2 linked regions of the Arabidopsis thaliana genome follow. The protein of the gene in region 1 interacts with the protein of each later gene in a pairwise test. Each region holds a gene or a part of one and is shown on either strand. Other genes may lie near its edges.

Region 1 (8,221 bases):
AATGTCTCCCTTACTTAAATATTTGCTGCATGCAGTACAAATTTTCAATTGCTGGTGCTTGTGCTTGATACGAACATGCAATACTAAAAGGACCATCCACATTCCAATATATTAAAACGAAATAAAGTTATTAATCAAACTATACTTACCACTCCAAGAACCTGCAACATGGAAAACATCAATACCAGCCACTTCAGAATTCCTAGGTCCTAAACACATTGATAATTGTCATTTCAGACAATCAGAACTATAGGTTACTTATTGGTTTCTCAAGATCTCATCTGGTGATTGCTCCACGACCGAACTTAGTAAAGATACTACACACATGGACTTCTAATTCAGAAATAAAGAGAGAATGAAGCAGCCAGAGAGGGACTCATAAAACGCTAGCACACTACCTGCCCATATAACAGATTATGGAGTCAAATACGAGAAAAAATCGTATCAACAAGAGTTTGCAATGCAATAAGAATTATCTGGAAAAACTCACCTAACTACAAAGACGGAAAAACTTTATTGAGGAACCTTAGGCAGCGCTTCCTGATACAGCTGCCTCCTGATGAAACAAAGAGTTCAACAAGAGATATCATTAGCTTTTCTATCAATTCTCTCATTCTATCAGATGGACGACACAACAGAAGTTAAAAGACTGTTTACCTTGCCAATAATTTGCTTCTCAGGTAAATCTGAAGATGCATCTGCTGAAGCCTCTTTTGAAAACCTAATGATGGGAAATTCACAAACCACAAAAATCAATAATTAGAAAGCATGGCACAGTACTTCAGTTCTCAGGGACTAGAAGAATTTGAGGTTGCATAGAAAAAGTACCTCAATGCTCTAGCTTTGCGCTTATTTTCTTCAGCAGAATCAACTTTAGTCTCTTTTCCAAAACGAGCGAGCCTAGCTTTCTTCTTTGCCTCTTCCTCAGTCTTATCAGTAGTAGAGGTCGCAGAAGGAACCCCAAATCTGTTCAAAATACAAAGCGAGTATGAAACTCCTTTTTCTCTAAACCCAACCAATAAACAACTATCAAGTACAAAGAAAGTATTGTGACATACCTATCAGCTCTTGCTTTTCGCTTCAATTCCTCTGCTTTCTTCGTTCCCTCTGAGCCATTCACCACTGCTGCAGCTACAGTACCAAACCTGCACCGAAGGTGAAATTCCTTACAACATAGGTTTGACAATAAGTATAAAAAATTCCGTAACCCTAATTTTCGAAACCCCTAAATTCGACGGAATCTAACGAATAAATATTAAAGTCTTTACCTCTCAGCACGAGAATTGCGCTTCTCCTCTTCGGTCAATTTCACCGAAACACCAAACCTCTCAGCACGTCGAATCTTCTTCTGGATATCATCGACCGGAGAGATATCCCCAGAATCAACACCAGCCGTCGATCCAATACCATTAGAGTCGGTTTCTTCCTTCTTTTCACCAGAATCTGAAAATCCCTTGACTTCTCCGTCGAGAATGTCGTCAGTACGATCTAACTCCGTAGTGTTGAGGTCTACAATTTTCTTAGGGTTTTCACCAGTAGATAGCCCTCCGCCATTCACCACCGTAGCCGTGACCTTCTCTCCGTTGGTCGCCATGGAATCGTAGCTCCGTTCGAAATTCGCACTTGTGGAGATTCGTAAGATATCTCTTTCGCGATTTTAGCAGAAGACTATTGTAGGGTTAGAGTCGAACCGTCGAGTCTCGGGGACTTTTAAAGCCCTTCGACACGAAGGGTAATATAGTCAGATTAAAACTTGATTCTTATGGGCCGGATCGGATCTAAATTATAGTCCGATACATTAAGCATCCGAAATAAGGGGCAATATTGTCTATTTAAACTTGCTTACAATCCGGGTCTGATCTAAATAGCCCGGCCCAAATAAAAAATAAAACGACATCGTTTCATAATTTCATTTTTTTATGATTTAATCTTCTCCACCACGTGACCACGTCCACGAATTATCGGCCGGCGAAGTAGGAATGTAGGATTGGAACTTTGTTAACATTCCCGTCTTGTTTCATCCGTTCTTGAATATGTATGATGTATGCATGTCTCGTTTCAACACTTGTTCCTCCTTTTAAGCATCGTTGCACTTTCTCTTAGCGCCGGATTACTGAGAACGAAGTTTAGTGTAATAATCAACCAAAGCAATCAGTGGGTATTACTCAAAGCATTTAGTAGATGTGTTTTAAGTGTGGATGAGATAATGTTTTGCAGACCTCTTTAGTTTTTGTTTGGTCGTTAAATGCTGCAAAAGAACTTAAAGATCTCCCAAACTTTCTTAATATATTTTTATGTCAGTATGTGTTATGTGTTTTGCATCTTTGTTTGACCGTTTGGTATATTCTGTGACTATGTGAAAATCTACAAAAGTCTTCTTACGATCGGAAAATATGAATACAAACTATAAAAGCATTTAGAAGAAAAAAGGTTTTTTAAAAAAAAAAGAAGAAAAAAAAAAGAAAAAAGGTTTCTTTGGTTCATTAATTTCACCTCATATTTCAAAATGAAATCTGTATAGACAATGACATGTAAAATTTTTTAAATTTAGATACGTTCAAAGAAAACATAAAATTTTGATTGTATCTTCTGATACAAATATTAGTAACCACTAACCAGAAGCTTAAGGTCTACCAGAAAAAGAAAGAAAAGAAAGGCATGAAAGAATTATAATATTTTCATATACAAAAAGAATAATTATTTATACGATACGAATTGAGCATAGATGATTCGGTGAGGTAGCATCCAATGGCGTGGTTCACAGACTGAGCTTTTTGACCAGCATTTTGTTTTTGTCCACTTGTCATAATGAAATTTCGACGAAAACAAAAATAGTTTTTTTCGTTGTGTGTGTGTCATTCCAATCGTATTATTATAACATTACAAGCATTACAAAAAGATATCACAGTAATTAACAAAAATAGTTCTTTCAATTGAAATATTTAGTCATCTACCATTTTTTCTTCTTTTAAACTCTTTTTATTTGATATAAAGAAAAATCATCACAAAGCAACCAAAAAAAATTAATATGATTATTAGTATTCACGTATTCAACTGATTAGACTTCACGTATGTGATTATTAGTATTCTCGCAAACAAAACTAGTAGAAGCTTTTGATCAATATCTTTGACCTTCACAACAAAAATTAGAAAGTTCAACGACAGAGATTAATCAAACGCTGACGTACGTTTACCTTTTTCTATTGGTAGTCACCATTGGGTAAGCATGAACCAAGCCTCTTCCTAATTCCTAATTCCAATTTCCATTGAGTATATATATAATATATATACGTAGTCTTATGTGTTTGATCCATAGTTCCTTTAAAACATCATATCTGCAATAATAATCCCCTGAAGAAACAACTCTTATCAAATCCTCTCCATGGCTCTATCTCCTCCGTAAGATCCTTTTTGTTTACTTTATGAGGTTTCTTGATTAGTATAAAGTCGTTTTTTCTTGTTAAATCTATATTCATCTCCTTGATTTTTTTTCCTTTATCAAGAAAAATTTTCGTAGAAGATCGTCAGGTTCCGCTCGATGCTACCTCTGATCCACCTGCTCTGTTCGACGGAACCACAAGGTTGTACATAAGCTACACTTGCCCATTTGCACAACGTGTTTGGATTACAAGAAACCTCAAGGTACTTGTTTTTTATATATTTATGGTATATATGTATGTAAATTGAGATCGAGATGAAAAATTTATAAGCAAGATTTGTTGATTTGTTTGACATTGGGGAGTTTTAGGGTCTGCAAGATGAGATCAAATTGGTTCCTATAGATCTTCCTAATAGGCCAGCTTGGTTAAAGGAGAAAGTTAATCCTGCAAACAAGGTGCCGTTTATTTTTATGATTAATCCTTATAAACTAATTAACGTTCTTTCAAAAGTGACAATAGAAGACTCTAAAAGATTGTGATAATGATGTATGTAGGTTCCTGCCCTTGAACACAATGGAAAAATCACTGGGGAGAGTCTTGATCTAATCAAATATGTCGATAGCAATTTTGATGGACCTTCACTTTACCCTGAGGTATGACCTTGTTGGCATGTTATAGACTTGTTCTTGTCATGTAAGTAACAATATTTCGATGAGATGTTGTTTTTTTGAAATTTTTGGTCTAGGATTCTGCAAAGAGAGAGTTTGGTGAAGAACTGTTGAAATATGTCGATGAAACATTTGTAAAAACTGTGTTTGGCTCTTTCAAAGGTGACCCGGTTAAAGAAACAGGTAAGGTTGATTTTCTTTTGTGTCTTGTCAATTGTTTTGGGCATCTGAAGGCTGAAACATGTGTGTTTTTGACGCAGCATCAGCCTTCGATCACGTGGAAAATGCTCTGAAAAAGTTTGATGATGGTCCTTTCTTCCTTGGCGAGCTTAGTTTGGTATATTAGTCTTATCAAAATGTTAAGTGCGAATGAACCTTTTTTGAATGTGTCACTATGGTTACAAAATTACTCGATTTTGTTTGCTAGGTTGATATTGCATATATCCCATTTATCGAACGCTTTCAAGTCTTCCTCGACGAAGTTTTTAAATATGAAATTATAATCGGACGGCCAAATCTAGCTGCTTGGATTGAGGTACACGTGTGATATATGCATGTCAACATGGTAAAACTTTTGTATGATTTAGCTGCATACTTGATTGCTTTACCTCAATGTGTGTGGTGCAGCAAATGAACAAGATGGTTGCATATACGCAGACCAAAACCGACTCCGAATATGTTGTCAATTACTTCAAGAGATTCATGGTAATTTCGCTTTTTATAAACGTTTAAACTTTTGTTTATTTGGACTCAAATGCCCTTTTTACTTTAATGTTAGGCTTTGCAATTTTGTCTTAACTCAATTTCCGGTTAACGTTCTAAAACAAAACTAACCGATTCCGGTTTTTCTTTATTTGCAGTAAAAGTAACAAATCTGTTGGACTTTGGTAACGATGCCATGATGGCTTATGAAGAAGAAATATTACTACTTGAGAGTGTTATAAATTTCTGGATTTGGTATTGTACATTTTGTGATAAATAAGAGATATTTGGTATTGTTTACTTTCATTCATCAAAGAGAGAGACATGGTTTATTCCGGATAATACAAATGTCAATAATAAAATGGGCTTAATACCTTATTGAATACCTTATTGAATTGTATCAATTACGGCCCATTATGAGTTATGGAGTTCCCGACAAAGATCACAAAACTGCCACGTGTACGATGATGACTGTAATTTCGAGAAACGTAAACGCTTCCACACAAAAAAAATCCGTAGTTTCTTCTACAGAATCAGATCTTTGTATCGTCAATGGCTCCTTCTTTTATGTAAGGATCTATGTTCTTATCCGGAATTTAGAGTCTTTATTGAGTTTGATCGATTTTGGGATTATAAGTTTCGCAAAATTCATGTTTTTTACATTAAGTCTATTCGATTTCAGCTGTATTGGGAATTTAAGTTTTTCTGTGGCTTGATTCTATTGAGACAGTTTTGTAGAAGATCGTCCAGCTCCGCTTGATGCTACTTCTGATCCACCGTCTCTCTTCGACGGAACCACAAGGTTAATCTTCAATGTTGCTTCTTTTATGCTTTTGGTTTTAGCTCTGTTCTGTAGTTTATTGGATTTCCCTTATGTCTTAACCTCTTATTGTTTTGTGTTACCAAAGGTTGTACACAAGCTACGTTTGCCCATTTGCTCAACGAGTTTGGATCACTCGAAACTTCAAGGTTTAACAGCTTCTCCTTTGTACTAGTCTCTCACCTTTAACAATATTTTGGTCGTATTAGGGATATTTGAAGCCGGATTGGTTATCTTGTTGAAGTTTGTTAATTTGACGTCTCACAAACTTTTATCTTTCTTGCATATGTGTACTCTATTTATAAAGTAGTTGGATTCTTTGGTTGGTTTCCGGTGGTTGTAGGGTTTGCAAGAAAAGATTAAACTTGTTCCTTTGGATCTTGGGAATAGGCCTGCTTGGTACAAGGAGAAAGTATATCCAGAGAACAAGGTTTTCTATTTATAACTCACGAGTTCATATGTGACATTCCACTTTTGGTTATGACTTAGTGGAAACTTCTCGTTATCTTTTTCAGGTGCCAGCGCTTGAGCACAATGGAAAAATCATTGGGGAGAGTCTGGATTTGATTAAATATCTTGATAACACTTTTGAAGGGCCTTCTCTTTACCCCGAGGTAACACATCCCTTATACCGAGTATGGTTTCCCTTCATTATTCTCTGATTCCACTATTCATTTCCCTCTCTAGGATCATGCAAAAAGAGAGTTTGGCGACGAGTTGCTCAAGTATACTGATACTTTCGTTAAAACTATGTATGTGTCACTCAAAGGAGACCCCTCTAAAGAAACCGGTGAGACTTTAAACTCTTCAACTGTTTTCAGGGGTGAAAAGGCGACAAAATTATGACCAAAAATTTCATGTTCTTGTTTCAGCACCTGTGTTAGATTATCTGGAAAACGCTCTGTATAAGTTCGATGACGGGCCGTTCTTCCTCGGTCAGTTAAGCTTGGTATAAGCCTCACTAACCTTCTTTGAGATCATACATTTCGCCTTTTGTTTGTCTTAATTCTTATATGGACGGTTTGAATTCTTTGTTTTTTTCAAGGTTGATATCGCCTATATCCCGTTCATTGAAAGGTTCCAAACTGTACTCAATGAATTATTTAAGTGCGACATTACTGCCGAACGTCCCAAACTATCAGCATGGATTGAGGTATATATATATGCAATCTTCATTAAGTCAGAAAAGATTACACTTATCCTCACTAGGGAATGGTACTTAAGCGATCGGTGTTATGTTTGCAGGAAATTAACAAGAGCGATGGCTATGCACAGACGAAAATGGATCCTAAGGAGATTGTGGAGGTTTTCAAGAAAAAATTCATGGTAAGTCATACAACTAGGATATAATTTTTTTAACTGAACTACCACATGATTTTAATGGATCCAAATGTGAGTTGCTTCATATTTTCTTGGGGGTTAGAACATAAAAGCTATATATGCCTTTAAGCATCTGGTTGTTTAGGTGTGAATGTTCGTTGCTTTGGGTTAGTTTTCTGTTTTGGGAATGAAAACCGAGTCGGTTTAGCATCTGGCTCAGAGACAATCTCATCTTTCTCCAACGAGCGTTTTGCGACTTAGACGTTTTGAAAGCAAAGACCATGCACTAATCATCAGCTAGCCTATTACTATGGCCAAATGACTTGTTTAATACTTTCTCGGTTAATGGTCTATACTAAATGTGAGTCTAATTCCGGTTATATTCTTGCAGTAACTGTAAGCAAGCACGAAGCAGTAAAGTGTATGAGACCAAACCACCTTGTACGAACAGGTGGTCTTTGGATATGAAGAAATAAGATGTGTACTTGAACCTGATGATGCAATAAGATTTGTACTTTAAGCAGCAACAGCTTAATCTGTATTCTAGTGTTGATCAAATTATCAACCATTGACATTGTTAATATATTACTGTATGATAGTAATACTATCAAAATCTCACACATTAAGAACCAGATGATGCAATAAGGATAAGGTGTATAGTTAACTTGCAGCAACAGCTTGATCTATATTTGACTGTTCACCAATAATCAATCCTTGACATTGTAATATGATATCAATACAATCAAAATCTCACACATTAAAGTTTTGAAAACTATAGTACTTTAATATTTATACAATAACTTTGGAATCGAAGCAGACATCCTCAGTACAATAATGAGAAATTGTCACATTTGAAAGCAAGCGCTCAATAAACATTACATTAAACAACATCACCTATAACAACATTATAAACCGGCCTCTATATGAATCTATCTCTTCTTACACATATCTACAAGTAGCTCTTAAGCCATACATTCACACTTAGTCTGAAAATCATCCACCTTTCCTCTCCAAGAAAGACAGCACGGAATGGGTTTAAGCTACATAACTTACACAGCATTGCGGTTCTCGGGATTATTTTCAGACCCTCTTTGATCTAGGTGGAGTCCCTGGAGCGAAAAGGGATCCTTGGACTGGCTGAGCCAGAGGATCAAACTTTTGGGAGGCGAGGTAAGAAAGTGCAGTGACGACGTCAGCAATGAGAGGTCTAAGATTTGGCTGCTCTTGTACGCACATCGCTGCTACAGCGAGTGCTTGGTATAACCCTCGCGGAGGGTATTGACCTTGAAGCATTGGATCAGCCATCTGAGAGAATTTCCTCCTGTCTTTAA
Region 2 (6,505 bases), on another chromosome or scaffold:
GATTTACGGCGAGATTCGGCGGTGGAGATACGACAGAAGTGGAGGCTACGGTGATACAGAACCATGTGAGCTTAAAAGTTCGGTGTAAGAGAGGAAAACGACAGATCTTAAAAGCTATTGTCTCGATTGAAGAACTAAAGCTTGCGATTCTACATCTCACTATCTCTTCTTCCTTTGACTTTGTCATCTACTCTTTCAATCTCAAGGTAATTTTCTTAATCATCTCTTAAACTATCAGTTTCAATTTCCACTAGTTTAAGCATTATTATAAATAGTCTTATGTAACTAGCAATTTTTGACTTTTTGAGGAAAATTAAGGAATCTTCATTTTGAAATGTTTGGTACTTAAGAAAATTAAAATGCATGAGAAACCATAATAGAAAATATCTACAATTATGTGTGTGTGTGTGTATTTTTTTCCTTCACTCTAAGCTTAGAAAATTTTAGTTTAATTTTTTAGTAAGTTGCTAATTTTTGTTTAGTTTTGGAGAGATGAGAAATGAATGGTGTTGTGCATGCAGATGGAAGATGGTTGTAAATTAGGATCAGCAGATGAGATAGCGACAGCCGTTCATCAGATCTTCGAGCAAATCAACGGTGAAGTCATGTGGTCAAATCTTAGTCGAACTTAGTTGACTTTTGACTCCTAGTAACGTGTGTAAACTTTAGGTTACAAAGAAAAGGGACGTGATATAAATAAGAAAAACCAAAGAGGTGAAATTTTGGGAGTTTTAATTATTATCTTATACTTTTTGGATTTTAGATTAGTAGCAAACTCGCAGTGTTCTACGATGACATTATTATTGGTCACATGAAGGTTTAGGTTATTATTGCCTGTAATTTTTGAATATAAACTAACCTATGAGTTCAGTTTGACCCCGAAAACGAAAAAAGTTAACCATGAGTAATATTTACTTCCATTTATAAATGTTTCCCACTTAGTAATAATGTTAAGAAATTGACTTTAGACGTCCGTATTAGAATGGTTACGGAAATGGAAACAAATACAATTAAAGATGAAACATCATTATTACTAAGAAGAAGTCGCCTTCACACTTCGCAACCTCTTTTTATATTTTGCATATACGTTTTATTAATACTCTCATATCGTCCATGCGTCTGACAAATCTACGCTTGATAAAAAAGGTACAGCTACAACATAAATTTAAAGGTATTCTTTTGCATCAACGTCTACTGACTAAAAATACTTGTTTATTGTATAATGACTCTAGTTTTACTTTTAACAACGAAGAGAAAGGTGGCAGAATTTTTTTAATATTCCAATGGTAAAAAAGCATCGTAAAAGGAAGCCTATGGTCAGAGTCTCATTGACACATCGGTCTCGCTTGTAATACGTAAAACTCAGCCTATCTCACTCACATTACTTTTTTCGAAATTTTAATTCATATATCGGTTTCCGCATATATTTAACTTTTGTATTCAAAGCTTATTAAAAAATCGGGAAAAATCTAAACATCATAAGCAAAACAAATCCGATCAATATGTTTAAATTCTGTAATACAAGAACAATATAAACAAAAACATATTATTCAGAAAGCAATGATACATTATTTGAATATTGTGTGTAAGAGTGAACGACAAGATCATACGTCAGAGATAATCGACTGGTAACAACTCTGATCTTTTCCAACTTTTGGTCAAAGTCAAACCATTTGGTCATTTTTACAGTAAATTATTGAGTAATATGTCATTTACTCATTTCTTTTGAGGAAAACTCTTTTTTTATCAGAAAACAAAAACAAATTACTCATTTTCGTTTTGGGCTCAAGACAAAAGTCCTTCTTTTAAAAATATTAGCCCAGTTAATCTATACAGGCCCATTAAAGCCCATACTAAAAGAGCCGAGCGTTCCACCGCGTGAGATTGACGTGCGTGTATTTACGCGTTAATGTTTCGCGTGGTATTTGTTTATTTGAATAAAGATTCCTTAGCTTTATTCTTAGTAGGTCCTCATGAGTCATATTCGTGAAATTGAGGTTTTTGAACGAACTCGGGGCTTTGATTCGAAGTCGAAAGTTTTGATTTTATATTGTGATTTCTAAGTCGAAGGATGTGTTACTTTGGTGTTTTTTTTATTTGATTTTTTAAAAAGAATATTTGATAGTTGTAAAGAGTTTTTGTATATGTTTAATTTTTAAATAGAGAAATGGTCAACGTAGCACAATTAACTTGTAATAGAGAATTGCTCAACGTAGCACAATTAGTGTAGATCTTTAAAATTAAATCATCGAGCGAATTTTAGAATTCTCCCAAATAGTTGTTATCTGCAAATGTCATGTTATTTACAATTCTTGATACATAAAATAGTTAGTTTTCCATGTGGTAAAAACAATAAAACATACGACCAATCGACCATTGACATAACTCTTCTAAATCCACGATGAGTTATATATATAAACTTATAATACTAATCACAATTATTGTTATTGAGGAATATACATCGTGAGTATCATCAAATCTCGTCATCGCACTTTGCTTGAACGTGCAAGAAACTTGGAAACGCGTTTAGAGCAAACACCGGGACACCGAAGTACCGTTTATTGAATTCCTTTTTTTGTGTGTGTTGTTCAATACTTAAATCGACTAAAAAATCATTAGCCTAAGATTCACATATCAGAACGTGCTTGGGCCAAAAATAAAATAAAGAACGTGCATGGACCAACCAACCATATATATATCTTCATAGTATTATTGATAATGGCGGGTCCCATTATGTTTGATATATTTTCAGTTTTCACCATGGAAGCATAATCTCAAGAATATGCCTCCAATAAAATTCGTTTGTACATGAATTCCTTAAGTATGGCAGAATACTACGTATACCCCACATAATAGTTTAATCTAATTTAAATTAGTGTAAATTTTCCACCAATCAATTTATTAATTACTTAAAACAACAAAAGTAGTGAAAAACAATTAAAAACACATATCTCCCTCAAAATACCCATAGTAGGCTACAACTGTAGATTTCTTGTTTCACAAGACACAAGAAAAAAAAACCTAACTTAGAAATCATTAGAAGGAAGTGGTTCATGTCCATTACTACCGATAAAGATAGTATCATAAACAATAGCTGCAATGGCTGCACCGATAAAAGGACCAACCCAATAGACCCAATGATTCGTCCAAATCCAGCTAACCACGGCCGGACCAAATGAAACCGCGGGGTTCATCGATGCACCGTCGAAAGCACCACCAACCAGAATGTTAGCTCCAACGATTAACCCAATCGCCAAAGGCGCAATGATTCCAATATCACCTTTCTTGGGATCCACGGCAGTAGCGTAAACCGTGTAAACTAACCCAAACGTCATCACAATCTCGAAAACGACTGCGTTCCAGGGCGTCACTCCATATGATAGCGAAAACGCAGCCGTTTCCATCCCGCCAGTGCTTACCTTGAGCAACAAGCAAGCTACGACTGCTCCGAGTAATTGAGCGATCCAATAAAGAATAGCTCTCAACAACGTTATGTTTCCACCAATAAAAGCCCCAAATGTAACCGCCGGGTTCACATGACCACCTGAAACGTTAGCTCCAACGGAAACCGCAACGAACAACGCAAACGCATGAGACAAAGACGCGGCCACAAGACCGGCAGGTGTGGCTGGACCATCTCCAGTTAGTTTTCCATAAGCCATTCCAGAGCCTTGACCCGCGAAAACGAATATAACCATCGAGAAAAACTCCGCGAAAGCTGCTCTAATCGCATCGGGACGACTAGCTTCCCCCGGCGTTCCAATCGCAATTCTGTTGATAGGCATCGTTACAAAAAAATTTGCTTTCTTGCTTCCTCTTCATTTTGTTTTTCATCAGTAAAAGTTTAAATAGTTAAAGCGTTAGTGCCAAGTGTGTGTATGAGAATCGTTCAAGAGACTGAGATTAGTGTTTTACGGTGGGCCCTAGGTTATAAGAAATCGAACGGTGATTATAAATTCATATTTAATTAATAACTTACTTACCAATTAATTAAATCTTAATCCGTTTTTCTCGCTTTCTATAAATACTATTATGGGTAGCAATTGAAGAACACGCGCTTTACTGTTTTCTCATCATCGTCACTTTTCTTTCTCCACACTTTCCGCAAGATTGTTCTGTTCTTCAAACGATTCTAAGGTACGACTTTTTTTTTTGAAGGTTCTTGATCTCAACTTTTGTTGCGTATTGATGTTTGATCCTCTGGATTTTGTATCCAACGGAAGATCTATCGAGAAATGAACAAATTCGATACAAATTGTTAGTGTTTAGCTGAATTATGTAGATTTTGTTAACTTCGATCTTGAAGATGATTGATGTTTATCGTACTAGTAGAATCTGATGTTAAATCTTTGAGTGATGGATCGTGTTATCAGCATCAATAGTGAAAAGATTCTATATTGATTTAGACGTGAAGTCATGAAAATTGACTAACAAGATTCTAACGTTTGGTTCTGTTTTGCTCTGTTTTATTAGATGAATGGAGAAGAAGTGAAAACGAGTCAACCTCAGAAGAAGCTTCAGAACCCTACTCCACGTTTAAACGAGAGGATTCTCTCATCTTTGTCTAAGAGATCGGTTGCTGCACATCCATGGCATGATCTTGAAATCGGTAATAATCACTGTTTTAAAGATATTCTGTGTGTTTGATTAGAGTCTTTTTAACTAAATTGTTCTATGTGTGCAGGACCTGGAGCTCCAGTGATTTTCAATGTGGTAAAGTCTTTATGCTTGATGATGTGACAATCCGATCGAAAAAGAGTTAATCATTTGTCTTTTTTGGATGAAATTAGGTTATTGAGATCTCAAAGGGGAGCAAAGTCAAATATGAACTTGACAAAAAAACAGGTCTCATCAAGGTAAAAAGATATCAAATCTTGAAAAAACAGAATGATCTGAGGATATATGATGATCGTAAGTGTTTGTATATGTCTATCAGGTTGATAGGATTCTTTATTCTTCGGTTGTGTATCCTCACAACTACGGGTTTGTCCCACGCACACTATGTGAAGACAATGACCCTATAGATGTTTTAGTTATCATGCAGGTTTGAGTCTAATTCTAACAACATTCACCAAAAGAAAATGAAATGGCTGAAATAATTTCTTATCAAAGTTGATTATGTACAGGAGCCTGTGCTTCCGGGTTGTTTTCTTCGCGCCCGAGCTATTGGTTTAATGCCTATGATTGACCAGGTAACATCCTAAGCTTTAGTTTTTCATGTTTCCTTGTGCTTCAAGTTTGTGTAACCATTGTAGCTAATTCTTTGGGGTTTTGGTTGAAATAAAGGGTGAAAAAGATGACAAGATCATTGCAGTTTGTGTTGATGATCCTGAGTATAAGCACATCACTAACATCAATGAACTTCCTCCTCATCGTCTTTCTGAAATCCGTCGATTCTTTGAAGACTGTATCCTTAAAACCTATTTTAATACTTGATTAGGAAACAAAACCATTTCTTTTTTGCTATCTTTAACCAAAATATAACAGACAAGAAGAATGAGAACAAGGAAGTTGCAGTGAATGATTTTCTACAACCTGGTCCTGCTATTGAAGCCATTCAGTACTCAATGTAAACTTTTTTTTCTTTTTACCTTTTTTACATAATTTGCTTTTCTTTTAAGCAAATCTTGATGTTTGAAATCATTCACAGGGATCTTTACGCTGAGTACATTCTTCACACCCTGAGGAGATAGATGAAAAGAAGACTTCTTCAAGAACATTCCTGCCAATTTTTGGGTCTGCAATCTCAGATTCTGTTGCAGTGAATATGCAAAAGAACAAGAATTTGTCTTATATTTGGATTTTTTTTGAATAAGCACGTGTCTCATATTTGGCTTTGACGCTTTCCTTTTTGTTGTTGTTGTTGTTGTTGTCTTCTGGGGATGTTTTGTCTGAACATTAAGAGTTTGTATTTGTAACACTGCCTTTGGATCTTTTTTTAATAATTTCAAGCTTCGATTTGGTTCCAATGAAACCAGACTTTTGTTTTTATAAATAAGTGTCACTGTCATTTTTGAAGAGTCCCCATTCCACATTTTGTTTTCCTCTGAAATCCAAATCCCAATTAGATTTGCAGAATCAGAATGAGAAAATGTCAGGTGGTGGAGAACTTCTTTTTCTTTCTTTTGTCAGATAGTTGGATCTGCTGCTCACCCCAAAATGGGCCTGGCCCAGTATATATCAATACCAGTAAATTGGCGCGTGTATATCAATCTCCTTTTCACTAAAAAAACACTTAATACCAGAATATATTTTACCAAAAATCTTATTAGTTCTCTAGTTTTTTTTTTTTAAATCTAAATATAAGCGTAATACTTCATCCTTTTTTAATAAGTGATATTTAAAAAATTTATACATGTATATTATCTATTTTACACCTACATTCTATTAATTTTCAAAACAAAAGTAATAGGACTAAGCATTTATTGTAAGGTTGATTTTGAAAATAGTTAATAGTTTTACATGAAAAAATATTGAATATTATTTAAAGTGAAGCAAAATAATT

What was found. Proteins that work in one complex are often made in the same cells at the same time.
Region 2: the proteins of GSTL1 (region 1) and PPa5 interact in a two-hybrid assay, tested with the Arabidopsis thaliana proteins (one large-scale study listed by BioGRID).

What each region holds. Positions count from the first base shown.
Region 1 is NC_003076.8:627,575-635,795, forward strand, and holds GSTL1 (glutathione transferase lambda 1), read left to right. Parts: upstream 1-3,173; 5' UTR 3,174-3,220; intron 3,221-3,276; exon of another isoform or gene 3,277-3,316; 5' UTR 3,317-3,382; coding exon 3,383-3,399; intron 3,400-3,503; coding exon 3,504-3,642; intron 3,643-3,748; coding exon 3,749-3,835; intron 3,836-3,934; coding exon 3,935-4,033; intron 4,034-4,125; coding exon 4,126-4,231; intron 4,232-4,308; coding exon 4,309-4,385; intron 4,386-4,475; coding exon 4,476-4,583; intron 4,584-4,675; coding exon 4,676-4,753; intron 4,754-4,908; coding exon 4,909-4,911; 3' UTR 4,912-5,185; downstream 5,186-8,221. Other genes in the region: MOS11 (Protein MODIFIER OF SNC1 11), read right to left, coding at 527-556, 658-721, 829-966, 1,059-1,145, 1,269-1,594; GSTL3 (Glutathione S-transferase family protein), read left to right, coding at 5,303-5,319, 5,481-5,552, 5,659-5,719, 5,914-6,000, 6,086-6,184, 6,258-6,360, 6,443-6,519, 6,616-6,723 and 2 more; CDL1 (Protein kinase superfamily protein), read right to left, coding at 7,971-8,221. UniProt on the Arabidopsis thaliana protein: Catalyzes the glutathione-dependent reduction of S-glutathionylquercetin to quercetin. In vitro, possesses glutathione-dependent thiol transferase activity toward 2-hydroxyethyl disulfide (HED).
Region 2 is NC_003075.7:622,066-628,570, forward strand, and holds PPa5 (pyrophosphorylase 5), read left to right. Parts: upstream 1-4,003; 5' UTR 4,004-4,137; intron 4,138-4,154; exon of another isoform or gene 4,155-4,257; intron 4,258-4,473; coding exon 4,474-4,609; intron 4,610-4,684; coding exon 4,685-4,713; intron 4,714-4,790; coding exon 4,791-4,856; intron 4,857-4,936; coding exon 4,937-5,044; intron 5,045-5,126; coding exon 5,127-5,192; intron 5,193-5,286; coding exon 5,287-5,407; intron 5,408-5,487; coding exon 5,488-5,569; intron 5,570-5,650; coding exon 5,651-5,693; 3' UTR 5,694-6,005; downstream 6,006-6,505. Other genes in the region: AT4G01460 (basic helix-loop-helix (bHLH) DNA-binding superfamily protein), read left to right, coding at 1-206, 522-632; TIP1;3 (tonoplast intrinsic protein 1;3), read right to left, coding at 3,027-3,785.